Linked DNA regions of Notamacropus eugenii. The protein of the gene in region 1 interacts with the protein of each later gene in a pairwise test. Links are inferred from orthologs where the notes say so. Each region holds a gene or a part of one and is shown in the gene's direction. Other genes may lie near its edges. The genes, in order: TRAF3IP1, PCNT, SMC3 and SPTBN1.

Region 1 (7,967 bases):
TTCTGATCATCCTTTCCCCCATCTGCCCTCCCTTTTATCACCACTCTTTATTCCCTTCTCTTTTACTTTCTTGTAAGGCAACAGATTTCTATACCCCATTGTCTATATATCTTATTTCCCAGTTTCATTCAAAAATAATTTTTAACATTTGCTTTTAAACTTTGAATTCCCAATTCTCCCCCTTCTTCCATTCCCACCCACCCTCACTGAGAAGGCAAGCAATTCAATATAGGTTATATATGTGTAGCTATGCAAAATACTTCCATAATAGTCATGTTGTGAAAGACTAACTATATTTCCTTCCATCCTACCCCACCTACAATTCTATTTTCAATTTTGACCCTGTCACTTTTCAAAAGTGCTTACTTCTGACTACCCCCTTCCCCAATCTGCCCTCCCTTCTATTACCTCCCTATTCCCTTTCCCCTTACTTTCCTGTAGGGTAAGATACCCAACTGAGTGTGTATGTTATTCCTTCCTTAGGCCAACTCTGATGAGAGCAATATTCACTCATTCCCTCTCACCTTCCTCCTCTTCCCTTCTGTTATGAATCCTTTTTCTGCCTCTTTTATGTGAGATAATTTACCCCCTTCTATCTCTCCCATTCTCCTTCTCAATATACTCTTCTCTCGCCTCTTAATTTTATTTGTAAATATCATCCCTTCATATTCAACTCCTCCTGTGTCCTCTATGTACACACATACACACACACACACACACACACACACACACACACACACACATACATATATATTTCCTCCAACTACCCTAATAATAAGCAAGATCTCATGAGTTAAAAATATCATCTTTCCATGCAGGGATGTAGACAGCTCAACTTTAATAAGTTCCTTATGATTTTGTTTTCCTGTTTAGCTTTTCATGCTTCTCCTGATTTTTATATCTGAAAGTCATATTTTCTATTTAGTTCTGGTCTTTTCACCAAGAATGCTTGAAAGTCTTCTATTTCATTGAAATTCCATTTTTTTCCTCTGAAGTATTATACTCAGTTCTGCTGGATAGATGATTCTTGATTTTAATCCTAGCTCCTCTGACCTCTGGAATATCATATTCCAAGGCCTTCAATCCCTTAATGTAGAAGCTGCTAGATCTTGTGCTACCCTGACTGTATTTCCATAATACTCAAATTATTTATTTCTGGTTGCTTGTAATATTTTCTCCTTGACTTCTGAACTCCAGAATTTCGTTACAATACTCTTAGGAGTTTTCCTTTGAGGGTCTCTTTAAAGAGGTAATCAGTGTATTCTTTCAATTCCTATTTTACCCTCTGGTTCTAGAATATCATGGGAGTTTTCCTTGATAATTTCTTTAAAGATAATGTCTAGGCTCTTCTTTTTTGATCATGACTCTCAGGTAGTCAAGTAATTTATAAACTATCTCTCCTGGAACTATTTTTCAAATCAGTGGTTTTTCCAACGAGATATTTCACATGGTCTTCTATTTTTTTTCATTCTTTTGGCTCTGTTTTATAATTTCTTGATTTCTCATAAAGTCATTAGCTTCTATTTACTCCATTCTAATTTTTAAGGAATTATTTTCTTCAGTGAGCTATTGGATTCTTTTTCAATTTGGCTAATCCTGCTTTTTAAGGCATTCTTCTCCTCATTAGCTTTTGGACTTCTTTTGCATTTGGGTTAGTCTATTTTTTAAGATATTATTTTCTTCAGTTTTTTGGGGGTGGGGTCTCCTTTAGCAAGACGTTAACTCATTTTTCATAATTTTCTTGCATCACTCTCATTTCTCTTCCTAGTTTTTCCTCTATGTCTCTTACCTGATTTCAAAATCCTTTTTGAGCTCTTCCATAGCCTGAGACTAATTCATATTTTTCTTAGAGGCTTTTGATGTAGGAACTTTGACTTTGTCGTCTTCTTCTGGTTCTATGTTTTGATCTTCTTTGTCACCAAAGATTTTCTGAGGTTTTTTACACTGTTTGTTCATATTCCCAGTCAAATACTAGACTTTCTAATTCTTTGTCAAGATAGGATTCTTCTTCCAGTATAGGTAGGGGTGAGTATACTGTCCCAGGCTTCAGTCACTCAGCATCAGTCACTCAGTCCCCCACAATCTGTGGGCCCAGAGCTCCAGAAGCAGTTACAGCTTTCACTGCTGCTGCTGGTGGTGCTGTCATCAGCACCGCCTCCTCCTCCTATGCCCCAGGGCTGGGGCCAGAGCCCAGCCAGACCAGATCCCACAGAGTTTTTCCGCTGAACTTCCATATGGTATTTAGCATTTGTGGGTTGAGAAGTCTAGAAACTGCCACAGTTGCCAATGATTCAGTCCCCTGAGGATTTCTCTAACCCTATCTGTGCAGACATGGCCCATGCTGGACTGTTCTACTCCCAGACTAGTGCAATAGATGCTTCCTGTTGACCTTATAGGTTGTCTTGTTCTAGAAATTTGTTTCACTCCATCATTTTGTGGGTTCTGTTGCTCAGAATGTATTTAGAATCATTTTTACAGGTATTTGGAGGGGTTTGGTGGAAGAGCTCAAGCAAGTCCTTGCTTTTACTCAGTCATCTTGGTTCCCAAGATTTTCGTCTTTTACTCTCCCTTTTTTAATCCCTCCTTCTGTCTCCTCACTCATTCTACTGTAGCCTCTCTTCCTCCTGAGAAATGACAGGAGTCATTTTCTCTTATGACTGCACTTTGACTTGCCTGGGATATATCACATATTCCCCTCTATGTTTTTCTTCCTTTCCCCTCTTTTATGTGTCCTCTTATTTTGACATTTAATCCCATAACAAGCATTGATTCACCTCTACTTGGGATGTTGTGAGGTTCAGCCTATGATATCTTACGCTTGTTTCTTCACCATCACTTCCATTTGATTTCTGCTTTCACCTTTTTCTTCTCATGTACATTTAGAAAGAGTCTCAATGATTGTTGGTTGGCTGTCCTCCTGTTGCTCTTGCCCCTGTTTTCTTATATTTTTGTTATGTTGGACATTTGAAAAGCAAATACTTTCCTCTGTGTGGTTTTCTTTCTGGGAATTCTCTGAAAGCTTCTTCTTCATTATTGAACATCCACATTTTTTTCCCTAACAGTCAGGCTCAAGTTAGGTCACCTTGGGCTGAGTTTGAGCTCCTTTGCTTATAGGAACATGTTATTTCAATATCTCCTACAGTTTCTGGTCAGTGCTAAAGAGTTGTGTTTTAAAATTTCTTTTGCTTTATTCTTGAAAGTCTTTCCCCTTGTTGCTTAGAAAATGTGTTGTCAATGGAATTGTTCAACTGAAACACTGGAGTTTACAGCATAGGAGTTTGGGGAGTTTTGTTTAATCTGGGGGTGATCTGTGAATTCTTTTGATAGACACTGTTTTTTAGAAGTTCTAGGCAGTTTTCTTGTATTATTTCTCACATTATGATGTTTTTTATTTTAACTTGTGTTCTTCTGGGTCACTTAGTTGGTTTTTGAGATTAATGTTTTTCATGCATGGAGATCACATTTTTCTTTCGTTTCTTTTTTTGGAGGCAATTGGGGTTAAGTGACTTGCACACGGTCGCACAGCTAGCAAGTGTCTGGGACCAGATCTGAACTCAGGTCCTCCTGATGTCAGGGCAGATGCTCTATCTACTGCTCCACTTAGGTGCCCCCACATTTTCTCTTAATGTTATTGCTTCAGTTCCTCTTCTCCCAGTTTGTCTTTCACTTCTGTGTGTACGCATTCCCACTGAGTTATTTTCTTTTCCTTTGTTGGTGACACTTGCTACTGTGGGTTCAAAATTTTTATTCTGCCGAATACTTCTGCTGTGCAAGCTATAATTCTGCATTCACAATTCTTATTTCTCTTTTAAACTATTTGGATTTGGTCATTTTCACAGAGTGAAAAATGTGATGTGTATATCAGGGTAGGGTATTTTGTTACTTTCTTTAAAGTTTAGTGGGGCAATGACTAATCAGACCCTCACCCATTTACCTCAAATATGATAAGTAAGGGAATTGTAAAGTCTTAGTCTTCAGGGAGAAAATAAGAAAGAAAGACTATAGAGAAGAGGGAAGCAGAGAGAGGAGGGGGATGGGAGAGTGAAGGAGGAAAGCAGGGAAGAGAAAGGTTGAGAGAGGAGGCAAACAAAAGAGGGAGGGGGAGGAAAAAGGATAGAGGATTCACCGTAGAAAAGACAAGAAGAATGAGGGAGAATGGGGGAAGTGGGGAAGGAAGAGGAAGACGAGTGGAGGAAGATTCTCTGAGAGAAGGGACCTCAGTGGCCGTCTTGTCCAGTTCTCTCGTTTTGTAGGTAAGGAAACTGAGTCCTAGGGAGGTTGTGACTTAAGAGGGGGAGCGTTCACCCACATGCTTTGGGAGACAGGGAAGGAGGAGGGGGAACGAGAAGGGGGAGGAGGAGAAAAGGTGACTGGGAGGGAGAAAAGAGAAATGAAGGGAAGGAAGGGAAGGAGAGGGGAGGAGAGAGAGGGGCAGGAGGGAGGAGTCCAGAAGACCCGTGGGCTCCTCCCCCATCCCACCCCGCCTCCTGCAGGCTGGCCTGAGGGCGGGGCCAGGATCCTGGCTGGGGCTGTGAGGTGGGAGGTGGAGGAGGAAGGAGGCGGGTCCAGGGGGCTGGAAATGGGGAGGGGCTAGGCTAATGAAGAGCGGGTGCCGCTAGGGCTGTGGGGCCTGGCCTCTGTGGGTGGGCGGAGCTTGCCGTGGAGGAGCTCGCAGGGATGCGACGAGGGGTGGGGCTAGAGTCCGGGTCTTCGGGCCTTGGAAGGGGGGGCCAGGTCGCTGGGGGCCGGGTCGCTCTCAGGGGGCGGGGCCTAGACTCTGGTGAGGAGGCGGGCTGCCGGGCTGGGGGCGACCTCTGGAGGCGGGGACATCCGAGACGGCCAGCCGGGATTGGACGGTGAGGGGGAGGGGACGTGATGCCGGCGGCGGCGGCTTGTTGCCCGTTGCTAGGGCGGCGCGCGCCTGGCGACAGAACGCTGTGGGTCCGCGCAGGCGCCGTTGTGGAGCGCGGTGTATTGTGGGATGGGCCGGCGAGCTCGGCGGCGACGGCGGCGGTGGAGGCGGGAGCGGCGGGGCCAGGCGGCGGCCTGAGGTGGCCCGGTCGCGGCCGGGGCCGCCATGAACGCGTCGGTGGTGAAGCGCACGCAGGACTCCCTGGGGAAGGTGATCAAGAAGCCTCCGCTGACGGAGAAGCTGCTGAGCAAGCCCCCGTTCCGCTACCTGCACGACATAGTCACGGAGGTGCGGGCACAGGCCGGGGGGGCAGGGGAGGCCCCGGGGGGTTGGGCCTAGCGGGGGGTCTTCTGTGGAGGGCGGGGCTGCCGCCGGCGGCCCTCCCAGCTCGGCAAGCTCCCTCTGCCTGTGCAGATCGCCGCTCACGCCTCCGGCTTGCTGCGGGCAGCCCCTGGGGAGGGGGAGGGGAACCTGAGCAGAGCCCCCCTGGGGGGTGTGGGGGGGCGGGGAGCTGCCCAGCAGGGGCGCCCCCGTAATGTGCACGCCGCAGAGCCAGGGGAGTCGGATTCAGTGACCACCTGCGACCTGTGGGGTCCAGGCTCCTCCAGCCCCTGCCCTCCGGAAAGGGTCAGGTCCCGGGACTGTTTGTGGAATGCTGATTTTTTAGTCTTCCCAAGAACGTCCGAGTCGGCTGGATGTGAAACTTCCTGGGCTGGGGTGTTTGCCCGCGTTGCCATGGGAGGCCGGCGCGCTTCCCGACTGCCGTCTGCCCGGAGGCTGGGGGGGTGCGGGTCGGGGTGCGGGTCGGGGCCCTTAGCCCCCCGGTGACGGGCACTGCTTGGTTCTTGGACCGCTCGGGTCATACAGACGTTCTCCCTCTTGCTGGTACCAACCTTCCTTTGTCAAAAACCAACGAAAGGGGGAAATCGATCCTGAAAAACCATGTATTCTGTTTAATGCAACTAGGAGACTGAGAAATTGAAAGATGTGTTTACTGCTGTGGACTAGCCAGTCTATAAAGTGCAGCTGGAGTTTGGGTTTGCATGAAAGAAAATGGAATTCTGTCCTTGAACAACAGTCCCCAGGAAAGAACTAGTCCTTGGAAGATGACCACTTTTGTGCTTTGTGCCGTGCATGGGACAAGATGAACTGAAATAGGACCCCAAAGTCGGGTCTGGTTAATTGGTTTGTTGGGTAAAAGCAGTTAAAAGAATGAAAGAATGCCAGTTTGATCTAACTGAGCTTCAGAAGTGCCTGACACTGCCCTACAAATGTTCCCAGTTTCATGTCATCTCCGTGTTTGATAAATATGTGCCATCTGTTTCTTCATCTGAGTCATTGATAAAAATGGTCAACAGCCCAGACTATCCACCAGAGACATCCCCCTAAGTTGCCACAGAGCCATCATTTGTTTATGCAGACTACGTTCGCTCAATCAGTTGAGAATCTAGTTGATGGTACTGTCATGTAGCCTGGGGATTCCCAACCTTTTTGAGTATGAGAGTCCCTTTTTTCTAAAAGAAAAAAATATATAGACATATCGCATAATGGATATCAATTGAAAAGTAAACAACAAAACATTTAATTCACTGATGTTTAAAAATGAATTTACATTTTCTTCATAACGACCCCATTTACATATGCTTGAAAAGTAATACTTAAGTCTGCTTCTGACAGCATTTCCGTTAATGCCACCGTCACCCAGCCAGGGCCTCCCGTTCGAAACTTTAGAATTAACCTCGATTCTTCTTCATGTCCCTCACCTTCATATTCCAGTGTCTTTCACCCTGTACTAAGTCCTGTGAATTGTATCTGCAAAATCTCCTGCATTCAGCTTGCTCTTTGCTCATTGATTGAAAGCTCTGGGTGCTCCTGTCTTGGCCATTAACTGTTCGTGCTGTTGAGCCAGTCATTACCACTCCCTGAGCCTTGATGTGTGTGCCCATCTCTAAATGGGGGTTGTATAAGGGGTTAGCCCCAGAGGGGCAGCACTGGGGACCATTTGGGCATGTGACAAAGAGAAGAATTGAGATTTGATGTGAGGATAAAATTCCTAACAACTGAAGTTTTCCCCACATGCAGGGGCTGCCTGGGGAAGGAGAAGTGTCTTCATGCAAAGGTCGGGTGCCCATTTGGAGTTGGGTTATGCAGTAGGCAGATTCTTGCTTAGGTAGCAATTGGCCTCAAGAGCTTCACAGGCCTCTTTTGTCCCTGAGAGTCTCTAACCTCTAAGGTCCTCTGAGGTCACCTGCTTCTTTTTGCTCTGGCATTCTTAGGTGCATTGGTTGAGGTAGTAGTAGCAAGACTGAGGGAGAAAAAGAAACAAACAGAAGGACTTGATTATTCATAGGGAGGCAAGATACTTCTGTTGTGTATAAAGAATTGTGGGCCCTCATCTTTTTGCCACTATAGCCTTTCATTGATAGGATGCTAAATTCATCTTATCTGCCAATGTAATAATATTTAATGTTTGCCATAACTTGATGGCTAGAGGTCCTGCCTTAGAGTCAGGAAGACCTGGGTTCAAGTCTTGTCTTTAACATATATTAACTCTTTGACCACTGGTAAGTCATTTAACCTTCATCCCCATATCTACTCACCCACTCCCACCCCAACTTTGAGACTATATAAATTCCAGATGAACTGGTCACCTGCTTCAATGCAGTGAGGCTCCACACAGGAAATTCCCTAGAGCCATGAAATCTCAGGTCTGGACCCCTCTAGCATCCCCCCAAAAGAAAACACCTTTGAAAATTTGCAGGCTCTGTCACCTTGTCTGGTAGGGTGGGTAATCCAAACATCCAAGGTTTTGTCCTCCATGATTTTTGCCCATGATTTTTCCAGAGGGGCCCTGGAGACATCACAGATTTTGTATCTTATAGGGCCAGTTGATTTGACCATCAGTTTCTTTAAAATGCTAGGACCTCTGAAATCTTGAAAAAACTTTTTGATAAAATCAGTGTAAAGCATCAGAATTGCTAAAAAAAAAAAATGGTGTTTTGTTTTTATCTTATTTTTACTGATGCTTTTTTTGTCATGTGTCAGTATGGTATGG
Region 2 (7,341 bases), about 2.5 Mb from region 1:
GCCTTTGTTTCTCTCCTGTATCTCCAGTGCTTTGCCTGACACACACACAGAAGATACTTAACAAATGAGATCATGGAAAATGCTGAATAAGTGTAAAGGCTGATTATGCTTACTAGTCATTACCTATATAGCATGGATTCACTTTTCATAATTTATAATATTCATATAGGCAGCAGGGTGGTCCAGTGTGTACAGAGCCTGACCTGGAGACAGGAAGATCCCAGTTCAAATCCAGTCTCTGATGTACTAGCTGGGTGACCCTGGGAAAGTCACCTAACTCTGTTTCCCTCATTTTCCTCATCTGTATGATGAGCTAGGGAAGAAAATGGCAAACACTACGGTGTCTCTGCTAAGAAAACCCCAAATGGGATCACAGAGAGCCGTTCATGGACCAAAACAACTGGACAACAAGAAACAGAGAGTTTGATCAGTAGAACAGCATAAATGTACAATATGCTGAAGCAAATGAGGCAGCTGCCTAGTATCTGAGAAACCCAAAGATCCTGGCTACTTGGCTAGCAACTCACGATTCAATAAAAAACTATTAGGAAAACTGGAAAGAAGCCTGGTAGAAACGAGGTCTAGATCAGAGGTGGTCCCAGACCAGATGAAAATTTAACTGGGAAATACTTAACAAAATAAATAAAGATACCTGGCATGGGTGATGTCTTTTGATTCATGTATAAATTGGATTTAAGTGAGGTAGAGCTGCACAAAGTCATAGGCCTTACTCTGTCCTCCAGTCAACACAGTCCATTGGCAGGATGACTGGTGATGGCTCTGGATGCAGTGGATGACTTTAGTGTCTTTGTTTTCTGACCAGCCTCCCAACCTTCCAACCAAGCCATTGGAAGAAATTGTTCTCATTCGCCCATCCCATCAGGGGAAGTCTTCACATGCTTGGGGCAGAGCCCCCCAAGCTCACCGATGGGTTTGAGGCTGGTTGGTTAACCTCAGCCTGGTTTGGCCCATATGCCAAAATGATTTACTGGGGTGTGGATGCTGTGCATGCTACAGTTTCTTGGAGCCACAGGTGAGAGTTAGATGGATCACGTAGACACTGAAGGTGGAAGAAGCCCTCACACCAGAGGTCCTAGTCTTCCCTGAACACACCATTACATTTGAAAACTGCCAATATGCACGCTGCAGGGATTCTTCTATTCAGATTAATGGCCCCCACTTCTATCTGAGTTTGCCAGCCCTGGTCTAGACCAACACCTCCCACTATACCCCATGACAAGTTCCAAACAGGTGAGTGACAGCTATAGAAGAGGCACCATGAACAAATTAAAGAAGCAAGGAAGCACTTACCTGCTAGATCGATTGATAGGGGAAGAGTTCAGGACCGAATCCTCTCCAGAGGATCACAGAAGAGAAAATGGACAATTTTGATTACATAAGAAGAAAAAGCTTTTGCAGAAACAAAACCAATTCAGCTAAAGTGAGAAGAGAAGCAGGTAAGTGGGAAAGAGATCTTCTGAACCAGGTTTGCAGCAAGTTCCTCTGATAAAGGTCTCATTTCTAAGATATACAGTGAACTGTTTCAAATTTCTAATAAGACTCATTTCCCCAGTACATAGTCAAAGCAAAGACAGTTTTCAGAGGAAGAAATTGAAACTATCAATAGCAACATGAAAAGTCCTTGAAATGACTAATAATTAGATCAATGCAAATGAAAACAGCTCCTACTCTGACATTTACTCTGTAGGGTTCTCTGCGGAATGAGTGAGTTCAACTTTGTCAACCCAAACGATGGCCACTGGAGAGCACAAGTTAGGGCCTTCCAGGCGGAGTCTAGAACCCTATGGGCACCAGAGACCATATGGACCAAGCTCCTCCTTTTACAGATGAGGAAACTTAAGGCCCCTGTGACTTTCTCATAAGACAGCCCCAATACTTTTCCATATGGCATCTCCTCAGGATAATTAATCCCTGATGCAGCTTATAGAGAGTTCCTTAGCGTGAAAGACATTGAGTTAAGTTTCCACAGTAAGTTATTGTTAATTGATGAAGTCATTGAGAATAAGTTAGATAAGAAGGCCAGCAGACTGCAGGTAAACTCAATCAACCAAAAGACAGACGGTGGCCTTCAGAAAATTACAAAGTTTTTGATAAAGGCACCAAATCTACAGCTAGCTGGAACTAGCCAAGAAAAATGACCTACAGTTACCTGGAGGCCTCATGCATATAAGCAGACACACCCCAAATAAAATTATACCTCCATTTTCTGATCATGGGTCCTATGATAAAGCATGTTTGGGAGGGGGAATCACACTAAGGAAGGTTATGTATTGGGCATGTAGAGAAGATGGTGACCTAATGGAGAATGGACCAATCCATCTTCTGGTGGAAGGATCTGTCTTGGAGTAACAGTATATAGCTCATCTCCCTTCTGTATTCAGTGCTCCCTCCTCTTGAAAAGAGGGTGGGGGCCCGCTTTGGCCAAAGTGTTCAATTCCTCTGAACTCTGCTGTAATATTTCCTTGATACCTTTTTAGTGTCACAAATGTTTCTAACATTAGCTTATAAGCTACTTAAGAGCAGGGACTTTCTTCTGCCTTCTTTGTATCCCCAGTGCCTGGCACATAAAAAGCATTTTTTCCTCAGAAGCCTGTGATGCCTATGGTTTGTTGATTACTGCTATCTTCATTTTACCAAGGGGGAAACCAGGCTCAGAGAGGGAGAGTGACTTTCCTGTGATCACACAGGTTTGCAAGTTAATTAGCATTTTCTGCATGTTAGGTATTGTGCCAAATTCTGAAAGCGGAAACGCAGCCCCTGACCTTTAGGAGCTCAGAAGGTGGGTTTTTAGCTGAGATTTAAGGAAGGTGAGGGGCAGGGAAGCCAGGCAAGTAAGGTCAAGTATTATAGGTATAAAAGAGCCAATGTCAAGATATGGAGGTGAGAGATAGAGAGAAACAGAGTCAATGGATCGTGGAGGATGGAAAGCACTAAGGTATAAGGAGACTGAAAAGGTGATGGTGGGGGTGTGGGGTCTAACACCTTGGCAGGGCTTTCAAAGCCCACACGATGTTTTGCATTGGCTTCAGGAGTGAACCACGGAGGTATCCTGACCAGTGGCAGCAGGTGGGGATGCACTGAGTCAGGGAGGCGGGTAAGAAGGTGGTGAGGCAGGGCCAGGCAGTCACCAGGGTTAGGCAGTGGGGACAAGCAGACTTAGCCTGGGAAGGGAGGAAGACACATAGGACATGTTGGCTACCAGTGGAGTGTACGGGGACTGAGGGGCTGGAGGGTCCTGCCCTGGAGAACCCAGGGCAGAGGGGAGATCCCTTTGAAAGCCTACAGGATGTCCAGGGATGCGGCCCCAGGTGGCAGGAAAGAGAGTGGGGCTGGACACACAGACCTGGGGATCACTGGCATGGAGAAGAGAACCGACCCCACAGGAGGGGAGAGAGCAGAGCAGGAAGTGCCCTCTATCAGGTGCATGCATGGAGGGCACGGGGAGGCATGAACTTACAGTGGAAAAAAACAACCTTCAGTTATTTAAAAACATTATTCTGAGAAAGGGTCCATTGGCTTCATTGGACTGCGGACCTCACCCACAGCCTTGTCAGTGGTTGAAGATCCAGACAAGGGGCCTGAGAGGAGGAGGATGGTGTCCTGGAGGGGGATGGACAGTGTCCTGGGGAGTTTGGACAGTATCCCCGGTTAATGAGAGATCTGAGAAGGGGCTGCCCCAGAAGTGGTCGTGGGAGGGGGGAAGCACGCCCCCTCCAGGGCACGTGTGGACATTCCACACCTGCGGCCCCTCCTGGCTGACCTGGCCTCAGCTTGGCCCCCCGGGGCCGAGGGGAAAGGGGCGGGGTGGATTGGTACCTTGGCCCCGCCCCCAAGCCGTCTCACTCCGCCCAGTCCCGGAGTTCCCGGGCTTCGGGCCCTGGCACAGATCCCAGCAGAGCCCCGAGGTCAGCCCGCCGCCTCAGTCTTTTTCCCGCCCGCGCCTCTGATTGGACAACGCGTTCCAGAGGCGCTAGGCGGGCCCTTTGAAATTGACCAAACAGAGGGCTCAGCTCGGTTGACGTCATAGCGCAGTAACCAATTCTTTCGTAAGGTAGGCGGAGCCTGGGCTGAGCGGAAAAAGGGAGGATACAGAGGCTAGCGGCCTGTCACTCAGAGCTGTACCAGGGCGGTTGGCTGGGAGGGGTCGGGTTTCCAGAAGAGCGCCCCGCCCCGAGCCCATGATTGGCAGGGCAGACGCGGGACGCCGTTCGCTTGTTGGCCAGTGCAGGCGTCCATCTGTGGGAGGACGCCGATGGGCGTGGGCGGGTTGGAGAGCGCTCGGAGGGTGCCCGGACCCGCCCCCTCGCTCCCGGTCAGTTAGGGGGCGGGGCGGCCGTGTCAATACAGCGGCTGCAGAGGCGGCGGCGGCGGAGGGTCGCGTCCGCCCCTGGGCCACGCGCGTATCCTCGCCGGGCCATGGAGTACGACGAGCAAGAGGAGCGGCGGCGCAAGGTGGAGGCCGGCCGGGCTAAGGTAAGGCCGACCCTGGCCGCCGCGTGGGATCTTCCCCTCCCCACAGAGCGCGAAGCTCGGGAGCCTGGGGAGGGGCGGGAAACCTGCGGTCCTGGGGGAGTGGGAAGGGGCCGCCTAGCACCGAGCCCGCTAGCTTGGCGGTCCCCGATCCCCCATCCCCGCCGGGGCCGCGCCTCTCTCGCGGGCTCGCCCGAAATCTTCCGCCTCCTGGCCGCCGCCATCTTGAATCCACCGCTCTTTCCTCGGCCCCGCCCCCTGCCTCCTGGCCAGTCATCGCGGGGTGGAGGCGGGGCCAGGCCCTGGAGGCCGGGGGGGTGGGGTGGAGCCTGACCACCGAGTCTCCCGGTCCTCCGCCTGCTAGAAGGTCCCGGAAGTGTAGGATACTGGCCGGAAGCGGGCTCACGCATTTCCGGCCTCTCTGGGGGCCCACCCTCTGGGCTCCGGGCGTGGCTTGGGGCGGAGTTGAGGAGGGGGCGTGTGCCTCCACCTCGGAGTGACGCTAGGGGTTTAGTGTGCTGGCTTCTCTGTGCACAGATGGGGAAACTGAGGCCCGCCCACCTGGACAGCTTGGGGCGACCTCCCTCGATGTACAGATGGAGAAACTGAGGCTGCCCCAGGGGAGGCCCACCTGCGGAGCCTGGTTTCCCCAAAGCCGGGCCTGAGCGCCGCGGTCACCCCGAAACAGTGGCCCAATTTGGAGGCGGCCCGCGAGGGGTCAGTGCGAAGGAGCGAGCCCCCTTCCCCCCAGAGGCCCCTGGGACCTCAGTACTACCAAGGCCCAGGCCCCCAAGAGAGCAGGGCCTCCCTCCAGGCCTGTGCTCAGTGCCCGAGCAGGGCCGGCTTCCCTGGCTGTAGGAGGGAGGTCATGGCCCAGGGTGGGTGACCAGTGCGGCCTCCGAGCCCAGCTTGGGGCTGATGATGGCGGGTCTTGCACAGTTGAAATATTGGTGCAGATTCTGGCTCGCCACAAGCAGGCTAGTGGAAAAGGCTGATCTCAGCTCAGGGAGCTAAGGAGAGAGGGTTCTGATGGGTGACATGGTTTGGAGGTCCCTGGTGCTTTGTGCACCGGGATACTTCAGAAAAGTAGAGCATCTGATTCTTTCAAGGAGGAGAGGCAATTGACCCAGCTTAATGAATTTTTTGCTATTTCTGTAGATGTGGCTCAGAATCAGTGGCTCCAAGTTTGACTCCTGGTTTTCTGCTTTGGGGGCAGGGGGAGCAGGCGAATGAAAGGGCCCGACTCGCCTCTCAGTTCATTTCCATGCCTTGGCGAAGTTGATGACCACTTGATAACTTCCTGCCAGTGACCATAGCTAGCAGGCTGCTTGTCAGCTGTTACTTAATTCCCCTGACCTGTTTGTAGGGCCCCAATAACTTGGGGACTTGGATGTCATTTTCATTTCCATTAGAACCCTGCAGACGGCACCCTGCTGTTTTGGCTGGGGATGCCTTTGGTCAGGGCTGAGGCCTAAGTTGGCCACCTGGATCCTTGATAGCTAGGGAGTCCCCGTGGATTTTTATGCACAGTCCCATTAAGCCATTCCATGTTCTCTTCCACAGGGGTGTTCACTTTGTGGTCCTGTTACGGTTTTCTCACTTATCTCTGTCTCTACTATTTCTTAACCTTCTTGTGTAGCTTGCTCAGTTCCGACAAAGAAAAACAAAAGGCGACAGTTCGAGTTCGAAGAAAAAGGCGTCGAAGAGGAAGAGCACGGCTGTCCATGCGGCTGTCACGGAGAAGGAGGAGGAGTGCACGGTAACACCCCCAGACCTGGAGCAGAGTGTGGACAGCAGGGGGGACGGTGACTGTGCTGAGGGGAGAGCCAGCGCCCTGGAGGCCAAGGTGAAGTGGCTGGAGGAGGGTGGGCTGGGGCTCTTGGTTTGCGTTATGTTGTTGTGATGGTTCCTCTCCTTTTAACGCACTAACCTCCGTGTCTGGTCTGTTTTTGGCTGCCATAAGTGGGAGGATGGGTTTCTTGTTTCCACAAGGTGAGTGAGCGGTGTTCTTTGCCCTGATGTTTCATACCTTGGTGCCATGGTCATTTTGAGAAACTCTCGTAGGCCTCATCCTCAATTGTTTTAATAAATATTGAGAGAATTAACTATGCCAGTTATGGTAGAGTTTCTGCTTAATTCAAATTGAGAACTCTCTTGAAACTTTCCATGTCCCCCAAATGCCTCCCCTCTTCCATTTCCCTCCCATCTTACTGCCCTTGAAGTGAGTGGGAATCCAAGGCATCGCATGGAGTTACAGATGTAGATCTAACTTCAGTGGCCCGACATCTTCCTAGGGCATCCCAGCGCAGGCTCTGCAGGAGGAGGAGGAAATTCGTCCAAGGTGTTAAGCAGAAGAGAGAAAAGGGAATGAGCATCAACCAGTTGTGTGGGACGTGGTGGGGTAATTGCTGTGAGGAATTCCTGGGTTAAGGGCTTAGCCTCAGTTTGTGGATTCCTAATTGCCCTGGGTTTGAGGTCAGCAAGGACACACTTTGTGTGGTGGTATCTCTGTATGGCATGGAGTCTGAGTGGGCAGCATGTGGGAGGTGGGAGGTCCTCTCAAAACCCATAAAGAGAAGTCTGAAGAATTTGGCTGTTTAAAAACAGTAGGGGTGGTACATGGAACTGTGAATGTTGAAGATGCCAAAGAGAACCAAGAGAACATTTATGTGCAGAACTGTTGATGTCGGCATTCTGAAATGAAAATGGCTGCTTGTCACTGCTCTCTTGTCATCCAGTATATTGAGAGCATCTAGTTTCCAGAATTTCCCCTATTTCTAACTCTCCTTTCTTTCCTCTTACTTGTAGTGCAGATGTTTGATAAGTATTTGTAGAATAATTTTATCTCTG
Region 3 (7,701 bases), on another chromosome or scaffold:
ATTTGTGTAGTATGCACTTTAAGCACAGCTTTTCAATTTGTGATTGCTTCAATGATAAGGGAAACAATGACGAAAAATGAAAAACTAATGTCAAAAGCTTTGGGAGACAAAATGTTAAATAGTTCAAAGAAAAATTATCTGTAGGTATGTCAGTGACCATAACAGCAAAACGGAAGCAGTCTAGGGCAAGGATTCTGGCTTACTGGGTAACCTAGGGCAAACTGCCTAATTTATCTAAGCCTCAGCTTACTCAACCTTTCAAATGACAATAAAAATACATTTTTGTCTATTTTATGGAATTGTTGAGAAGATCAAATGAAGGAATGTAATTTGATTCGGAAGCATTTATAAAGGCTCTATGTGCCAGGCACAGTATGGGAGGCTGGAGAGACAAAGACAGAAACAAAACAGCCCCTGACCTTAAGAAACTTACATGGTACAGGGAGGCTACATGTACATAGATAAGTAAATAATGAGTATATATACAGTAAATATGAACTAATTTGGGGGGATGAGGAGGTGGTAGAAATACTAACAAATGGAGGATCAGTAAAGGCCTTTTGTAGGAGGGAGGACAGGCAGAGGCTTGAAAGGAGATAAAGATTCCAAGAAGCAGAGGTGAGAAGGAAGTGAATTCTAGTCAGGAGACTCACAGCATCTCCACAGGCATGTAGGTGGGAGATGGAACAGCCAGCACTGGGAATGGCAAATGGGCTCATTTGGTTGGAGAGTAGAGTATATGAAGGGCAGTAAAGTGAAATCAGCTCAGAAAGAGAAGTTGGAGCCAGATCATGAAAGGTTTTCAGTGCCAGATAGGAGTTTATATTTTATTCTCCAGTCAATTGGGAGTCCCTGAAGATTCTTGAGGAGAGTCGGTCAGACTTGTGCTTTAGGAATATTAACTTGGAAACTACATAGAGCATGAAAAAAGGCATAAATGAAAAGAATGAAAAAAAAAAGAGTACTTATCATGTGCCAAGCATTAGGGGAACAAAGACAAAAGTGAAGACAATTCCTACCTTCAAGGAGCTCACATTCTAATTGAGGACTGGTGGTCAGAGATATTTTGCATAGGAACATTACAGGGATTGTGAACAGTTATAAATAGATTAGCCTAACCTTTATAAAACAATGGCAACATTGCTTTGATTATGGTTCTAAAACTGGACAACAGAATTGGAGGGAAAGGTGGCTAAGAAGGAGCTGGTCAGAGGATAAAATAAAGTACGGCCAGAGATATCCTGATATAGTGGGCCACATGTGAGGTACTCAGGATGGTGGGAGCACTAGTGCTAACAGGGTCAAGTCTTCCCTGTCACAGGAGTAAACCAACTGGGTCTCAAAGTGGCTGGATAGATAGGAGAAAACTTGAGACTGGGAGACCAGTCAGGAGACCATTTTAATATTCAGGGAAGAGGAAATGAGGGTGAAACACAAAACACTCACAAGCATGCACTGACAGAATTCAATAATTCAGCTTATAGCTATTATTATGCTCTCTTGAGAGATCAAATCAGTTGGGATTCCATAATGTAAATTCATAATGGACCCAATGAGCATGGTTGTATGCTAGCAGTATTAGGCAGCTCTGTTCTGGGGCAAAATGGACAAAGGATATGAACAGGCAGTTTTCAGAGGAAGAAATTAAAGCTATTTATAGTCATATGAAAAAATGCTCTAAGTCACTATTGATTAGAGAGATGAAAATCAAAACAATATCACACCTACCAGGTTGGCTAATATGATAAATCAGGAAGATGGCAAATGTTAGAGAAGATGTGGGAGAGTTGAAACACTAATTCATTGTTGGTGGAGCTGTAAGCTAATCCAACCATTCTGGAGAGTAATTTGGAACTATGCCCAAAGGGCTACAAAAATGTGCATACTCTTTGACCCAGCAATATCACTTCTAGGGCTGTATTACAAAGAGATAATGAAAATGGGAAAGTGTCCCATGTGTACAAAAATATTTATAGCAGCTCTCTTTGTTGTGGCCAAGAACTTGAAATCAAGGGAATGCCCATCACCTGGGAAATGGCTGAACAAGTTGAGGTATATGAATGCAATGGAAATACTATTGTGCTATAAAAAAATGACAAACAGTTGAACTTCAGAAAAACCTGGAAAGACTTATATGAACCGTTGCTGAGTGAAATGAACAGAACCAGGAGAACATTATACATAGTAACAGAAACAGCATGCGACGACCGTTTCTGATAGACTTCGCCCTTCACAGCAATGCAAGGACCTAGAACATTCCCAAAGGTCTCTTGATGCAAAATGCCATCTATATCCAGAGAAAGAACTATGGAATCAGAATGCAGAATGAAGTAGACTATTTTCTCTTGTGTTTTGTTTTGTTTGGTTTTTCTCACGGTTTCTCCCGCTTGTTTAATTCTTCTATGCAACATGACTAATGTGAAAATGTGTTTAATAAGAATGTATATGTAGAACCCATATAAGATTGCATGCCATCTTGGGGAGGGAGAGGAAGAAAACTGAAAACTTATGGAAGTGATTGTTAAACTGAAAACAAATTAATTTAAAAAAAAGAAAAAATAGTATGCATTGAAAACCCCTCAAATTGGTTCCCCTGCCTTTGACTTGTACATGCTAGTGCACATCTAAGTCAAACTTCTAATTTTGTAGTCAAGCAACCAGGAAGAGAAATCAGACCCAGAGCTTTTAATTCCCTAAACCAATCAGTACCTTTTGAGGAAAAACTAGCATAATTTGAATGGAGTGTTGTAAGATTTTGCTTCCACCAACACATATAAGTTCATGGTCTTCCCTGAAGGTTGCTCCTTGGATATACTGGTTCCCTCAAATGCTAGTACTCTCTCCTATTATACTTGCCACTCTCTGAGGTACAATATTTCCTTTGTGGGGAATATTCATACATACATATATACACGTATATATGTAAATATATGTAAGTTTACACAACACACATACACACATATGAAAATAAAAATATACATGTGTATGTATTTTTTTCTCGTCCTTATAAAGCTCAGAAATTAAATGGGAAGGCAGTACACAAGGTAATTAATATTTATTCTTTTAATCATTTTTCAATCATCCTGACAAGTACCACCAGAGCCTTCAAAGGCCTTTGCTGGGGGCTACTTCACTGCCACCTCAATTCATGCTCCACTAGAATGACTCCACTCTAATGCCTGCTCTCTTGATTGGTGAGGAGTTCCAATTGTGCTGCTCAATGCCCTCAGAGCTTAACACTCACTGGACAGCTCCTCCTCCCCTTGTAAGGCCTTGCCTGTGTTTTCTTTCTCTTCCCTGCTCCCCTTAATGTTGTGATTTTCCCATCAGAATGTGAGTGCCTTAAAAGCAGGGACAGGCTTCTTTTTCTCCCTTGTATTTGTATAACCAGTATTTAGCATGTTGCCTGGTACATAATAAGCTTAATAAGTGCCTTATCTATCTGCTATGAGATTTACAAAGACAAATAAGATGCAGTTTGTGCCATCCAGGAACTTACTCCATCAAGCAAGCTAAGATAAGTGAGGCAGCATGGTGTAAAAAGAGCAGTGAGGGTGGGCAAAGCTAGCTTTTACTAGCTATGTAATCTTAAATAAATCACTTCACTTCTCTGGGTGTCATTTTTCTTACCCATCAAATCAGGATAAACCAAGTTTGTAAGCATATAATGAGATAGGAGGCAGTTAGGTGGCCCAGTGGAAATGATGGGGAACAAGTTCTGGGAACCCCCAGAGTTACATCTTCCCCACTCAATCCGGTGTTGGCCTGAGGTCACAAGCCTTTCATGATCTGCTTGTCCAAGCCTCTGGCTGCTCCCCAGCCTTGACCTCTGGATTACCCCGGCCTACTTTCTACTCTAGACCTCCTCACTGCCTCCAGCTGTTTCCCACCCTTGATCACAATCAAACTCTCTTGGTTCTGACCTCCAGTCACCCCAATCCCACCAAGATCCTCCTCCAGACCCTCCCTAATCCCCTCCTCCCATCACCCCAGACTACTAGACCACCCCCAGACTTCTCCCACAGTCTTTCCGTATATAAGATCCTTCTTGTCTCCATGAAGGTGCTCAGATTCTCTCTGGCCCCTTGTCTATACAAGCTTCACAAATGGTGAGGCTTCTTAAGAGTCAACCCAGCAGGGCGGATCTTTAAAATAAATTGTTTCTTCAGAATAAGAGCCTGAGTCCAACTCATTCTGGCAGGACCCTGGGTGCACTTATCTTGGGGTCCCAAACACCCTAAACCTCAACATAGGGTTCCCTGACCTCAACAGAAACAGGAAGACCCAAGGTCAAGTGTGGCCTCGGACCCTGGGCAAGTCACATAACCTCTTTCTGCCTTCAGTCCGGTCTCTTTGCCATGGGCAGGATGGTCCAGCAGTCACAGGAGCGGGGCATGGCTGAACAAGGGAACAAGGAGATCTCACAGGTAGAGGGGTTTCTGCAAGAAGGGATGACCGGGATGGGGTCCCTGGCAGCTGCACACAGCAGGGGTTTCACAGATGCTTCTCCTTCAGAGGCGTTCCCACGAGGCCCGTAAAGAGGACAACGGGTGGGTGAGATGTCAATTTCTCACCCCCCCCACCCCTCCTCCGCGTCAGCCGCACGCGACGATCTCTGGGAAACCAAGGCCGCGCACGTGCTCCCAGGCAAAATTCTCCCCCAAAGTGGCGGAAGCGGAACGTCCGTTAGGCGGCATAAATGCGGGCTGGCAGTCTGTCCGGCGCGCCAGGGAATGAGGCCCGCGGCGCCCAAGCCTTGGCATCTCCAAAAGTAAACAGCGACGCGCCACCGCGCCGAAGTTCCACCTTGGCGTCTCTTCTTAACCGCCCCCCTCAAACCACGTGGTACAGAGCCTGGCTCATCTTCGCGGTCCCCTCCCCTCGCGGTTTGAAGACGCTTGCCTTTAGCGCCGAACCTTTCCCCTCTCGTGGTCGCTACCACTGGCTTCCGCCCTAGAGGGGGGACACGGACCAGCCCAAGCATGTCCGGGAGGAAAGTCGAGAGCCTATTCTCGAAGCCAGGGAGGCTGCGTCCAAGACACAAATACGACTTTGCCACGCAGAGTCCGACCGGAGCTGGTCACGAGTGGGGAAAGGCAGCGAAGTGTCCCGGAGCACCCGCTCCTCCCTGCTCGTGCGGCGACGATGGTTTGATCCAGACGGGGACACCGCCTCCTCAGAGGCCGCCATTTTGTTTGGCCGGGGAAAGGATCGGGGTCGTGGGGGAGGGGTCGTAGACTCAGCTCACCTGACTGGCGGAGGAGCAGCTGCGGGTCCCGGGAGGGTCTTTCTCCCGGGCCGGGGGCGAGGAATCATGTATATAAAACAGGTGAGTCCGGTGCCGCGCCGTCTCAGAGGATTTAAGACAGCCTCCGTTTCCCGCCTCCCCTACCCCCCCCGCCCCCCCCCCCCCCCCCCCCAGCGCTTCGGAGCCCGCTCCCATCCCCCGCGCGGCCGCGGTGGGAGGAGAGGGGAGGCGTCGTTCCCTCTGCCTCCCGCACCTTCGGCCCTGGTCCTTCCCCAAGGTCCTAGGCCGCCCTAAGGGTCCCGGCGGCGGGAGGGGGAGGGGAGAGGGCCGCGGAGGCGGGCGGGGGGCGGGGGGTGGAGCGGGCCCTTGCTCCTCGGCAGACAGACCTGCCCCCGGGGGCGCGGAGGGGCGCGCGTGGGGGGCGTCTGCCCTGCAGGCCGCACTTGACTTTGCCTGTTCCTAACCGTAATAACGAGAGGCGCGGTGCTGCGCGGCCTCCTCCCATCCTCCTCTCCCCCTCCCCTGTGGTGGCTCTAAATGGAGGCTGGTGAAGGTTGTCCGAGCTGCGCCCCAGGCCTGCCCCGTGCTTGGTACGGCCCTGGGTGGAAAACCCAAGTGTCCCCCGCCCCCCTTTATTCGGGTATTCTTTAGGCCTGTAATTCTCTTCTAACTCATCCCTTCCTCCTGGCCTTTCTGGCGCCCAAGCCCCAAACAATCCCCCTTGATTCTGGTGCCTCACCTCTGTGGGTTTTGTCCAGTTCATTCTGTATGTGCCTTGTTAGTAGGTGGTTTTCACGTAGTCTCTCTCACACACACACCTTGTCACATAGTAGGTGCTTAAATAAATCCTTTTTGAAATACTCTCAATCACTATTGATTAGAGAGATGCAAATCAGAACCACTTGGAAGTACCACATCACACCTATCAGACTGGCTAACGTGACAGAACAGGAAGATGACAAATGCTGGAGAAGATGTGGGAGAGTTGGAACACTAATTCATTGTTGGTGGAGCTGTGAGCTGATCCAACCATTCTGGAGAGCAATGTGGAGCTATGCCCACAGAGCTACAAAAATGTGCATATCCTTTGACGCAGCAATATCGCCTCTAGGGCTATGTCCCAAAGAGATCATAAAAATGGGAACAGGTCCCACATGTACAAAAATATTTATAGCAGCTCTTTTTGTGGTGGCCAAGAACTGAAAATTGAGGGGATGCTTATCAATTGGGGAATGGCTGAATAAGTAGTTGTGGTAGGGATGTAATGGAATACTATTGTGCTGTAAGACATGATGAGCAGGTAGACTTCAGAGAGGCCTGGAAGGACCTATATGAACTGATGCTGAGTGAAAAGAGCAGAACCAGGAGAACTTTGTACACAGTATGAGGAATTTTTCTGGTAGATTTAGTCCTTCACAGGACAAGGACCTAAAATATTATCAATGGGCTCTTGAGGCAAAATGCCTTCCACATCCAGAGAAAGAACTATGGAATTGGATTGCAGAATGAAGCAGACCATTTCCTCTTGTATTATGTTTTGTTTTGGTGGTTTCTCACATTCATTTTAATTCTATGCAGTATGACTAAGATGGAAATGTATTTAATAGGAATGTATGCATAGAACCTATATAAGGTTGCATGCTGACTCAGGGATGGAGGGGAAAAAAATCTAAGATATATGAAAGTGATTGTAGAAAACTGAAAACAAATTAATGAAAATAAAATAAAGTTAGAAGCAACTTCATTAAAACAAAGGAAATCCTTTTTGGCTGACATAGCCAGAGCTCTACTTAAGGAAGATATTCTGGATAGAGAAAAACACTCTGACCTACCTATTCTTCAGTAGGGAGGAGAGATAATGAAACGTGAATTGCTGTGTTATGTGTTCCTTTTTAAAAACTTTGTTTTTTATATATTTTAATATTTGTATTATGTATTTAATATTTTATATTATTTAACTTTTTTAATGGACCAAAATCCTTCTCTCACCTTCCCCATTGTAAAAGAAAGAAAAATGAGACCTTTGATGGAAAAAAAATTCCCAAAATGACTGTCCAGAAAATGCTTCATTCTTTATTCTAAGTTTATCATCTTTCTATCAGATAGCATTTTTCATTATGAATATTCTGGAATCATGTTTGGTCCTTGCATTAATCAGAATCCTTAAGACTTTCAAAATTGTCTTTACAGTGTTACTGTATGTTTTTTTCTGGCTCTGTTGATTTCACTCTTGATCAGCATCAGTTCATACATGTCTTTACAGCTTACTCTGAAAATGTCTTTGGTCACTTTTTACATCACTGTTGTAGATGTTCCACAGAACCTCATCCTGTGCTTCCTCTTCTCTCCCTATGTACTTCACTGGGTGATCTCATCAGCTCCCATGGATTTAGTTATCTTTGTTGATAAGTCTCAAATCTACCTCTTCTGCCCTTACCTCTCTGCTGAAATCT
Region 4 (7,469 bases), on another chromosome or scaffold:
AATAAGGCATCTTTCCTCAAAAGGCATGCATTCTACTAGTAGATACAACATGTTCACAGATAAGTAAATATAGGCTATACATACATACACACACATATATACAATAAACTAATATATTTTGATTTTAAGTAGCTAAACATTTAATAAATTAATAGAATTGTATATACATGTATGTATATGTAATTAGGGGCCACAAACTGGGGATATAAGGAAAGGTCTTTTGAATGGGGTAGCTCTAAACTGAACCTCAAAATGAGTTCTAAGAGGTAGAGAAAGGAGAAAGTTGTTGTCATTGAGAATGCTCGAGAAAATCCAAGGGACCTGCTTTATCATATAAATAGGCAAAAAAGTGGCAAAGTAGATAGAGTACTGGGCCTGGAGTCAGGAAAACCTGAGTTGAAATCTAGCCTTAGATACTTATAGGCTGTGAATTCCTGGGCAAGTCACTTAACCTGTTTCACTCAGTTTCCTAATCTGAAAAATGGGGATAATAATAACACCTAGCTCCCAGGGTGGTTATGAGGATCAAATGAGATAATTACTGTAAGGTGCTTAGTATACTACCTGGCACATAGTTAAGTGCCATATAAATGTTAGCTATTATTAATTAAAATAAAATTTTGTAAGACCTCAAATTTATATTTCCCACTATACCATTATTGGTTGGGCACATAGCAGGGACTCAATAAATATTCATTTGTTGATTTGGACCATTTTGGATGTGGAGAGGAGTTTAGGAAAATAGGGATGGTTTTAAAAGTAAGCCACCCAAGTAAAAGGATTTCAAGAGGGCTGGGAATCTTCTTTTCCAAAATACATCCGGATTCACTGATAAGTGAAAATACATGATAAGGAATTTCATTCCTCCCCCTTATGCCAAATAAAGGTCTTGTCCCTCTTATTTCTAAGATAAACAATATTAATAAGAAATCTACCAGTCACTTACACCATAGTGCAAATAATCTTTTCATAGGAAAAAGGGTTGAGAAAATATTCAAACATTTAGTACATTGAGAGAATGCCTCACTGAGGGGAAGAATGACAATAATAGTTAACATTTATATAGCACTCTAAGGTGTGCATAGTGCTTTAAATATTAACTCTTCTGATCTTCACAACAATCTTGTGAGGGAGGTGTTATTATTTTATCATCTTACAGATAAGGAAACTGAGTCAGAGAGATTAAATTATTTGTTCTGGATCATGCAACTACTAAGTGTCATAAGCAGGATTCAAATTCGGGTGTTCCATCCACTGTGTCACCCACCTTCCTAAAAAGAGGAGGTAAAGAAAGAATGGGGACAAACTCTAATTACTTATCAATTTTCCCTTTAACTAGCCCAACTGAAGAACAAATCGATTTCCTGGTCAACCAAAGAAACAACTGATGACAGAAGAAATTGAATCTAAAATTTCAAAGTATCCTTGCTTGTAGGACTAAATAACAGGAAAAAAGAAAAAGAAAAAAAATATTAATAGGTTTGGCACATTGAGATCACTGTTTACTTAAAGGAACCTAGCAATCATCATCCAGGTCATATTTAATCTTCTTCAGGGTTGATTTTTCTTTTTAACCATTTGATTCTGAAAATGTTATTTTAACAATTAGACATTCATGGGTATAAATTTAACTGTCATAGTCTGTCCTTTTTACCTTTAAAAATATAATTAAATATTAATATCTTGCCCAAAGGCTTTAAGGGAAAGGAAGTTTAATGAGAAAGGAATCACAGAGTAAAGTATTTCCTTAGTTTTATTCATTACTAATAGACTAAATCTTGAGCATGAAAAATTTTTTGTAAAAATCAAAATTTTCCTAATAGCCTTTATGATTATTAATCCAAGATCAAAATTATTATTATTAATAATAATATACTCTCTGAATGTGAGTCATTTTCAGTGTTGAACCTAAACTAAGTAATTTCCTTTTATACTGGAAGTGTTCCATGTTAGGGTGTTTCTTCATTAGCTATAATTCAAAAATGACTAATGACTATCTCTATGATCTAAATCTGTTAATTCCTATTAATTTTTGTTGATTGCCAATAATGTATTAGCTGCTAGATAAAATATTATGAAGACAAAGTTCCAGCTCTCTAGTAGAACCTTTCTCAACTTCTGCATTTAAAAAGTTTCCCTTATATCTTACAATAAAACTTTAAATCAGTAGCCTTCACTCTGAATTTCGGAATCACACTTAATAAGCTACTATAAAGTTGGTAAATTCTTACAGTCCCCGGTACAATGCCATATAAATTGTGAAGTTAAGGAAACATGTTGCCTTTTCTCAGGGAGAAAGCATAAAATGATTTGGGTTGGGGGCAGGATATGGTCTCTACTAGAGCTAGAAGATTAACCATTCTAGTGGTAGAGAGATAAAGGGAGTATTTAAAGACCACTACTAAAAATAACTTTGGAAGTGTTTAAGAATTTATTTCCCTGGAGACTCTGTTGTTTTCTTGTGGATTTCATTGACTGAAACAAGCAAAAACTCAGTCCTCAGGTGCAGCATTCATTTCCAGTGTGCTAATTTCCCTGTGCTTACCTTTATGATGTTTTCATGTTTTTGTTGTGATTTGATGGCATTCCTGAAAAATACTTCATTTATTTCCTTCAACTTCTGAAACACTGAAGTAAGTATAACGTGTGAAAACATTTATTTTGCTCATTAAAAGCTAAATGACTGATTTTTCTGACCCTTTAGGTCCCTTTCCTTCTAACTTGAAAATTTCCAAAATTAAAATTATTTATCGGCATCACAGGATACTACCAGTTTTAAAGCTTTTAAAAATATCCATCTAATCCAATCAATCAACAAGCATTTATTAAGCACTTACTACATGCCAAGAACTATGAAAAAAAACCATATACATATATTATTATATATAAAACATAAAAATGAATACAAGGTTGATTTAGAACTCAAAAGTCATTATAAAGGGAAGAAAAAAGAGAATGCTTAAATTCTGTGAAAATTTAATAATCTTTTATATGTTTTTAACAGTACAATTTTTTGGTTCTACTTTTGAAGCCTTAGGCCATCTGAATTGAGACCCTGACTTTTGGGGTAGACCAGCATTCTGAATAGGGTGATCAGGTACATTAGGCAAGAAATAAATTTTAGTTAATTTTTTATGTGGTACATGTGTGTTAACTAAAATTGCCAGTTCAAATTTCTGCATTTTCAGCAAAACACGATATTCATCTGTAAACACTTAAACACTAAATATACCAGGTCTCAGACCTCTACTGCTTGAAATAGCTGCAAATCAGTAATGAGGTTCTCTAACCTTCCTAGGTCAGTTTTTGTTTTAAGGTTTGGGGGATCCTTCAGAAGAAAAGGTTCAACAATTCTCTTGAGCCGAAATAATAAAAATTGTATAGTGCTCACGTTTTCCTGGATCTGGGCTAGATAACCATACAGAGCAAGTTAACCACAACTTTTGTAGGAGCTTATGTTCTAAAGCTCAGATTTCTAGCTAATGTAGGTAAGTCTTGACGAGAACCTTGACAGGTCCATTACTGAGTAGTGACAGACAGCTTGTTAGTCCCCAGGAAACACTGTATCTCAAAAAAGGGGGTGGGGGTGGGGGCCGCTACGGGATGTTTGCCTCAGGGATAAGAGGCTGGAGTTCAAGTACTAGGCTAGGCTACCTAGGTAGAAAGGGTTAAAAGAATTCACAAAGGGAGAACTTGACCCAGAGAATTGGGAAACAAACAACAAAAAAAGGCGCCCAACAGAGATGTCGCCTTTTCCCCACCTGAGCGGAAACCTACAAGCACTACCTCCCAGATTTAAAACAAAAATGGGGAATCCACCCACTTAAAACCCCCAAACCCAGAAAGCAAACTTTGTCCTTTGTTACAAAATAAAAAACCAGCAAGGAAGAAAGGAGACTGAGCGAAGTCACGTTCAGAATTAGGCTGCCCCTTTCCATGGTGATAATCGAATTAGGCTTCAATTAAACGTGAAATTGGCCCTCTCGGGGGGTGGGGACAAAGCCCCCATTATCCCCGGCGCTCCCTCTCCTCCCGCGGCGGCGGTGGCCCCTATCGGGGTGCCTGGCTTCCAGGCCCGGCCTCGGGGACTGAGGAGAGAAGAGGAGAGGAGAGGAGGAATGCGGAGGGAGGTGAATGTGCAAGCGCACTTGTTTATCAGCTGCAGCCCAGAGAAGGCGCTCGCTGCAGGTAGCTGGGAGGAGGCCCGGGCCGGGGGCTGGAGGAGCGCAGCGGAGAAGGGGGCAGAGGGCGGTGGGCACTCTCAGAGGCACAGAGAGAGTGTTTGCGCGGTGGCGGCGGGGCGCGAGCCGGAGGAGGAGGAGAGGCTTGTGGGTGGGTGTCTGTGCAGCATCCCTCTCCCCGCCCCCTCCCAGCTCCCGCCCGCCCTCCTCCCGCCTGCCTCCTGAATCAGTGCAGCTGTTGCTGTGTGGGCTGCGGATTCCTCCAGTCGCTCCCTTCCCTTCCTCTCCTCCGGGAGCGCAGCGCTGCACTGCACGGCGCCCGGTCCTGTCCTGTGAGCCCCGACCCCCGCGGCGGCTGCCAGCACCGACCGGCTGCCCAGGAGGAGGACGGGACCCCGGCGCCCCCCACCCAACCTCCCCATCTCCCCGGACCCCGAAGAGGTAAGGGCCCCGAGGCTGCGGTTGTCGTTCTGCGGACCAGATGCCAACTCACTGAACGCCTCCTTTCCGTTCCCAGCCCCCGGGTTAGGTGGGTAGGAGAGGATTGCGAGAGGGGGAGGCGCAGGGTTCTGGGGAGGGGGGGGCTGTGAACCTTAGGGTGCTGTGCCAGGACGACAGCGAGGAGAAATCACGCTGACCCTTTCCCAGCACAGAGGTTGGAGGGAGGGGGAGGGGAGGCTGCAAAAACAGGGAGGGAGGGGCGGCGGGGGTGAGTAGGGGTTTGTAGGGCTGGTGACCCCCTCTTTTTAAAAAGTGTTCCTTTTATTGGAGGGCAGTGGGCGAGAAAAGGGGCGCTTGGGGCGGGATTCAGGGCCTAGGGAATGAGCAAGACGGAGAGAAGGCTGCAGGCAGGCTCTGCAGTCTGGCAGCTGCAGACATGGCAGTGTGTGACTGTTGCAGCGGCTCCATCATTAGGTTGCAGCAGACATCCCTCCTCCCCTTCGCCTTTCTCCTCCTTTAAGCTGTGTGCCTCATTTTCCCAGTATTTTTCTGGGGGGAGGCATTAAAGAGAGAGGGTACTGAGGTTCTCGAGCGCATATTTTAGTGAGGTGCAAAAAAAAAAAAAGAAAAAATCGCCTTTGGCTGCTTGGATTGGTGTGTGTGTGTGTGTGTGTGTGTGTGTGTGTGTGTGTGTGTGTGTGTGTGTGTGTGTGCGTGTGTGCGCGTATGTATGTAAAGGAGGGGCAGAAAGGGAGGAGAGTGGGCATCTTGGCGAGGGGTCGCTGACCGTGCTTGGTGACCTAGGTTGCTGGATGTAACGGTACAGGAGATGCAACCAGGCGTGGTCCTGAGCTGCGCTGCTGCTGCTGAGCTGGAGGCGGCGGCAGCAGCAGCTGCTGCTGCTGCTCCTGCTGCTGCTCCCGCCTCCTTTTCCTTCCCTCCTCCTCTTTCTCCTCTTTCTCCTCCTCTTCATTTCCCACTCTCTCTGGACTGGGCGTGAGCAGCTACGGTGCTGGGAACAGGCTGCTTTTTCGGGCTTCGGTGTTCTTCAACAGGTTTGTGCCGACCTGGTCATCTCTTTTCTGGTCCCCTAGGTAGGGTTGTGCTGGTTTGGGAACCCTTCTTCCTCCCTGCTCCCGCACCCTGTTTTCTTGCGTTGGGTCGTTCTCTTGGCTTTTGTGATGGGAAAAGTGTCAATCCGCTGCAATCAGATTTACAGTTGTTCCCCCTCCCTCCTCCTTTCTCCATGTTGGGAAGACAGCCTGATATGATTGCAGGCTTTGCAAACCGTCTTGAATTTTAAGAAGAAAAAAGAGAAAACAGGTGAGAAAAGTATCTGAAGATGGGCCTCAGGAAAGAAAGAATCCATGACTTGGGTTAATTTGTTTTTTAAAATATATTTAATCATGATCTAGCAGGAGTGGGATGATGCAGCACAATGCAGCTAGATATATGACAACCTTATTTTGTTCTTGGTGGCTCTCCTTTGCATAGCAACCCATCGCCCTGTGCTCTTTCCCAACCCCACCCAGTTGGAAAGCTTTTTTTTTTCCAGAGCCTGGGGCTGCTTGTCCCCTGTCATACGGTTTCAGCTGGATGTGGCTTCAAAAGAAACAGATCACCTAGGTGTAGAAGGAGAAAGAGACATTTTTGCGGGGGTTGGGGGGGAAGGAGGGAGTGGATGAGGTAGTGGTTAAGGGACCCTCCCTGTTTGGTTGCTGTTAGGTTGTACTGTAATGAAGAGGAGTTATGCGATTGCAGTTCTAATGCGGTCTGATGGAGCCCAGCCTGCGGCTGTGGACCTTTATCCCATACTATCAAACTACTGTAGGAGCATTAGGGAGGGGCGACAGGAAGAATGATATTGTAAATGTGAGGAAATGGTGCATGTTGTATGTGAGTAGTCATGGGATATATTTATTAGATGGCTGACCACGCCATGTAATCTTCCAATATAATTGGCTTCTGAATATATCAGAAGTTGATGACAGTAATAAATTCACATTTAGCAGCTTAGGGCACCCAGTATTAAGAATATAGGTTTTTAGTTCTAGAAAAACTATGTGCATAAAAAAAAATTAAAGAAGTTAAATGCTTTTAGTTCCTTGGGCCTCAAAAAGTGTATAAAGATGTTAGAATTTCATATATTTTTAAAAATTGCTCTTTAAGGGTTGTAAAAGTGGGCTTTTTTATTGTTGGGGGCTTAGCCAAGTTTTTTCCCCTTTAAATTGAAACTATTTGGAAACTAAATTCACATCTTGAGATAACAAATGAGATTTATATTTAATAGAAATCAAACATTTTCAAGAGTTTTTTTATTTAAGTAGCAAAATTGGCTTTACATATAAGATTATTTCAGTAGAGTCATCATTAAGATGATTGTAGCTGAAATTAACCACACATTTAAATTTCACATCTTTTCTCTTAAGTGTTTTCTTCCAAATGTGATTTGGGCAGATTTTCATGACATGATTTTTTTCTTATGGCTTTCTTATGGCTTTTCTTACGCTTAAGTGTTTCATAGCATTAAGTCAAATGTGGCAGGGAAGTGATTTTACCTCTCTCTTCGTATAGTGAATTTCATTTACAGATGACTTTCCCATAGTTCTCTTAGATACTTGTATTTGAAGTTGAGTAATAAATGGAATTTAGTGCATAATGCCAGTCTAGGTTCTGGTTTTGAGGAAATGTCACCTAAATTAGGTAAAGAGGTACTATCTCAGTAGTTAAACATTTCAAAGCCAAGGATTATCAGTTGATAGTCATATTTTCATGAGTCTAGGTTTGTAGCCTTTGAATATGCATAATAATACATAATAAAATTAATGAAATTAAGAAGCTTTAAAT

Evidence for each region.
Region 2: the proteins of TRAF3IP1 (region 1) and PCNT interact in a two-hybrid assay, tested with the Homo sapiens proteins (2 studies listed by BioGRID and IntAct). The link is inferred for Notamacropus eugenii from reciprocal best matches to the Homo sapiens genes TRAF3IP1 and PCNT.
Region 3: the proteins of TRAF3IP1 (region 1) and SMC3 interact in a two-hybrid assay, tested with the Homo sapiens proteins (2 studies listed by BioGRID and IntAct). The link is inferred for Notamacropus eugenii from reciprocal best matches to the Homo sapiens genes TRAF3IP1 and SMC3.
Region 4: the proteins of TRAF3IP1 (region 1) and SPTBN1 interact in a two-hybrid assay, tested with the Homo sapiens proteins (2 studies listed by BioGRID and IntAct). The link is inferred for Notamacropus eugenii from reciprocal best matches to the Homo sapiens genes TRAF3IP1 and SPTBN1.

Annotation. Positions count from the first base shown.
Region 1 is NC_092873.1:65,997,111-66,005,077, forward strand, and holds the start of TRAF3IP1 (TRAF3-interacting protein 1), read left to right. Parts: upstream 1-4,934; 5' UTR 4,935-5,077; coding exon 5,078-5,200; intron 5,201-7,967.
Region 2 is NC_092873.1:68,466,101-68,473,441, reverse strand, and holds the start of PCNT (pericentrin), read left to right. Parts: upstream 1-4,215; 5' UTR 4,216-4,437; coding exon 4,438-4,494; intron 4,495-6,130; coding exon 6,131-6,337; intron 6,338-7,341. UniProt on the Homo sapiens protein: Integral component of the filamentous matrix of the centrosome involved in the initial establishment of organized microtubule arrays in both mitosis and meiosis. Plays a role, together with DISC1, in the microtubule network formation.
Region 3 is NC_092872.1:188,251,430-188,259,130, forward strand, and holds the start of SMC3 (structural maintenance of chromosomes protein 3), read left to right. Parts: upstream 1-4,697; 5' UTR 4,698-5,314; coding exon 5,315-5,329; intron 5,330-7,701. UniProt on the Homo sapiens protein: Central component of cohesin, a complex required for chromosome cohesion during the cell cycle. The cohesin complex may form a large proteinaceous ring within which sister chromatids can be trapped.
Region 4 is NC_092872.1:651,984,201-651,991,669, reverse strand, and holds the start of SPTBN1 (spectrin beta chain, non-erythrocytic 1), read left to right. Parts: upstream 1-4,382; 5' UTR 4,383-4,622; exon of another isoform or gene 4,623-4,710; intron 4,711-5,354; exon of another isoform or gene 5,355-5,716; intron 5,717-5,825; exon of another isoform or gene 5,826-5,945; intron 5,946-7,469. UniProt on the Homo sapiens protein: Fodrin, which seems to be involved in secretion, interacts with calmodulin in a calcium-dependent manner and is thus candidate for the calcium-dependent movement of the cytoskeleton at the membrane.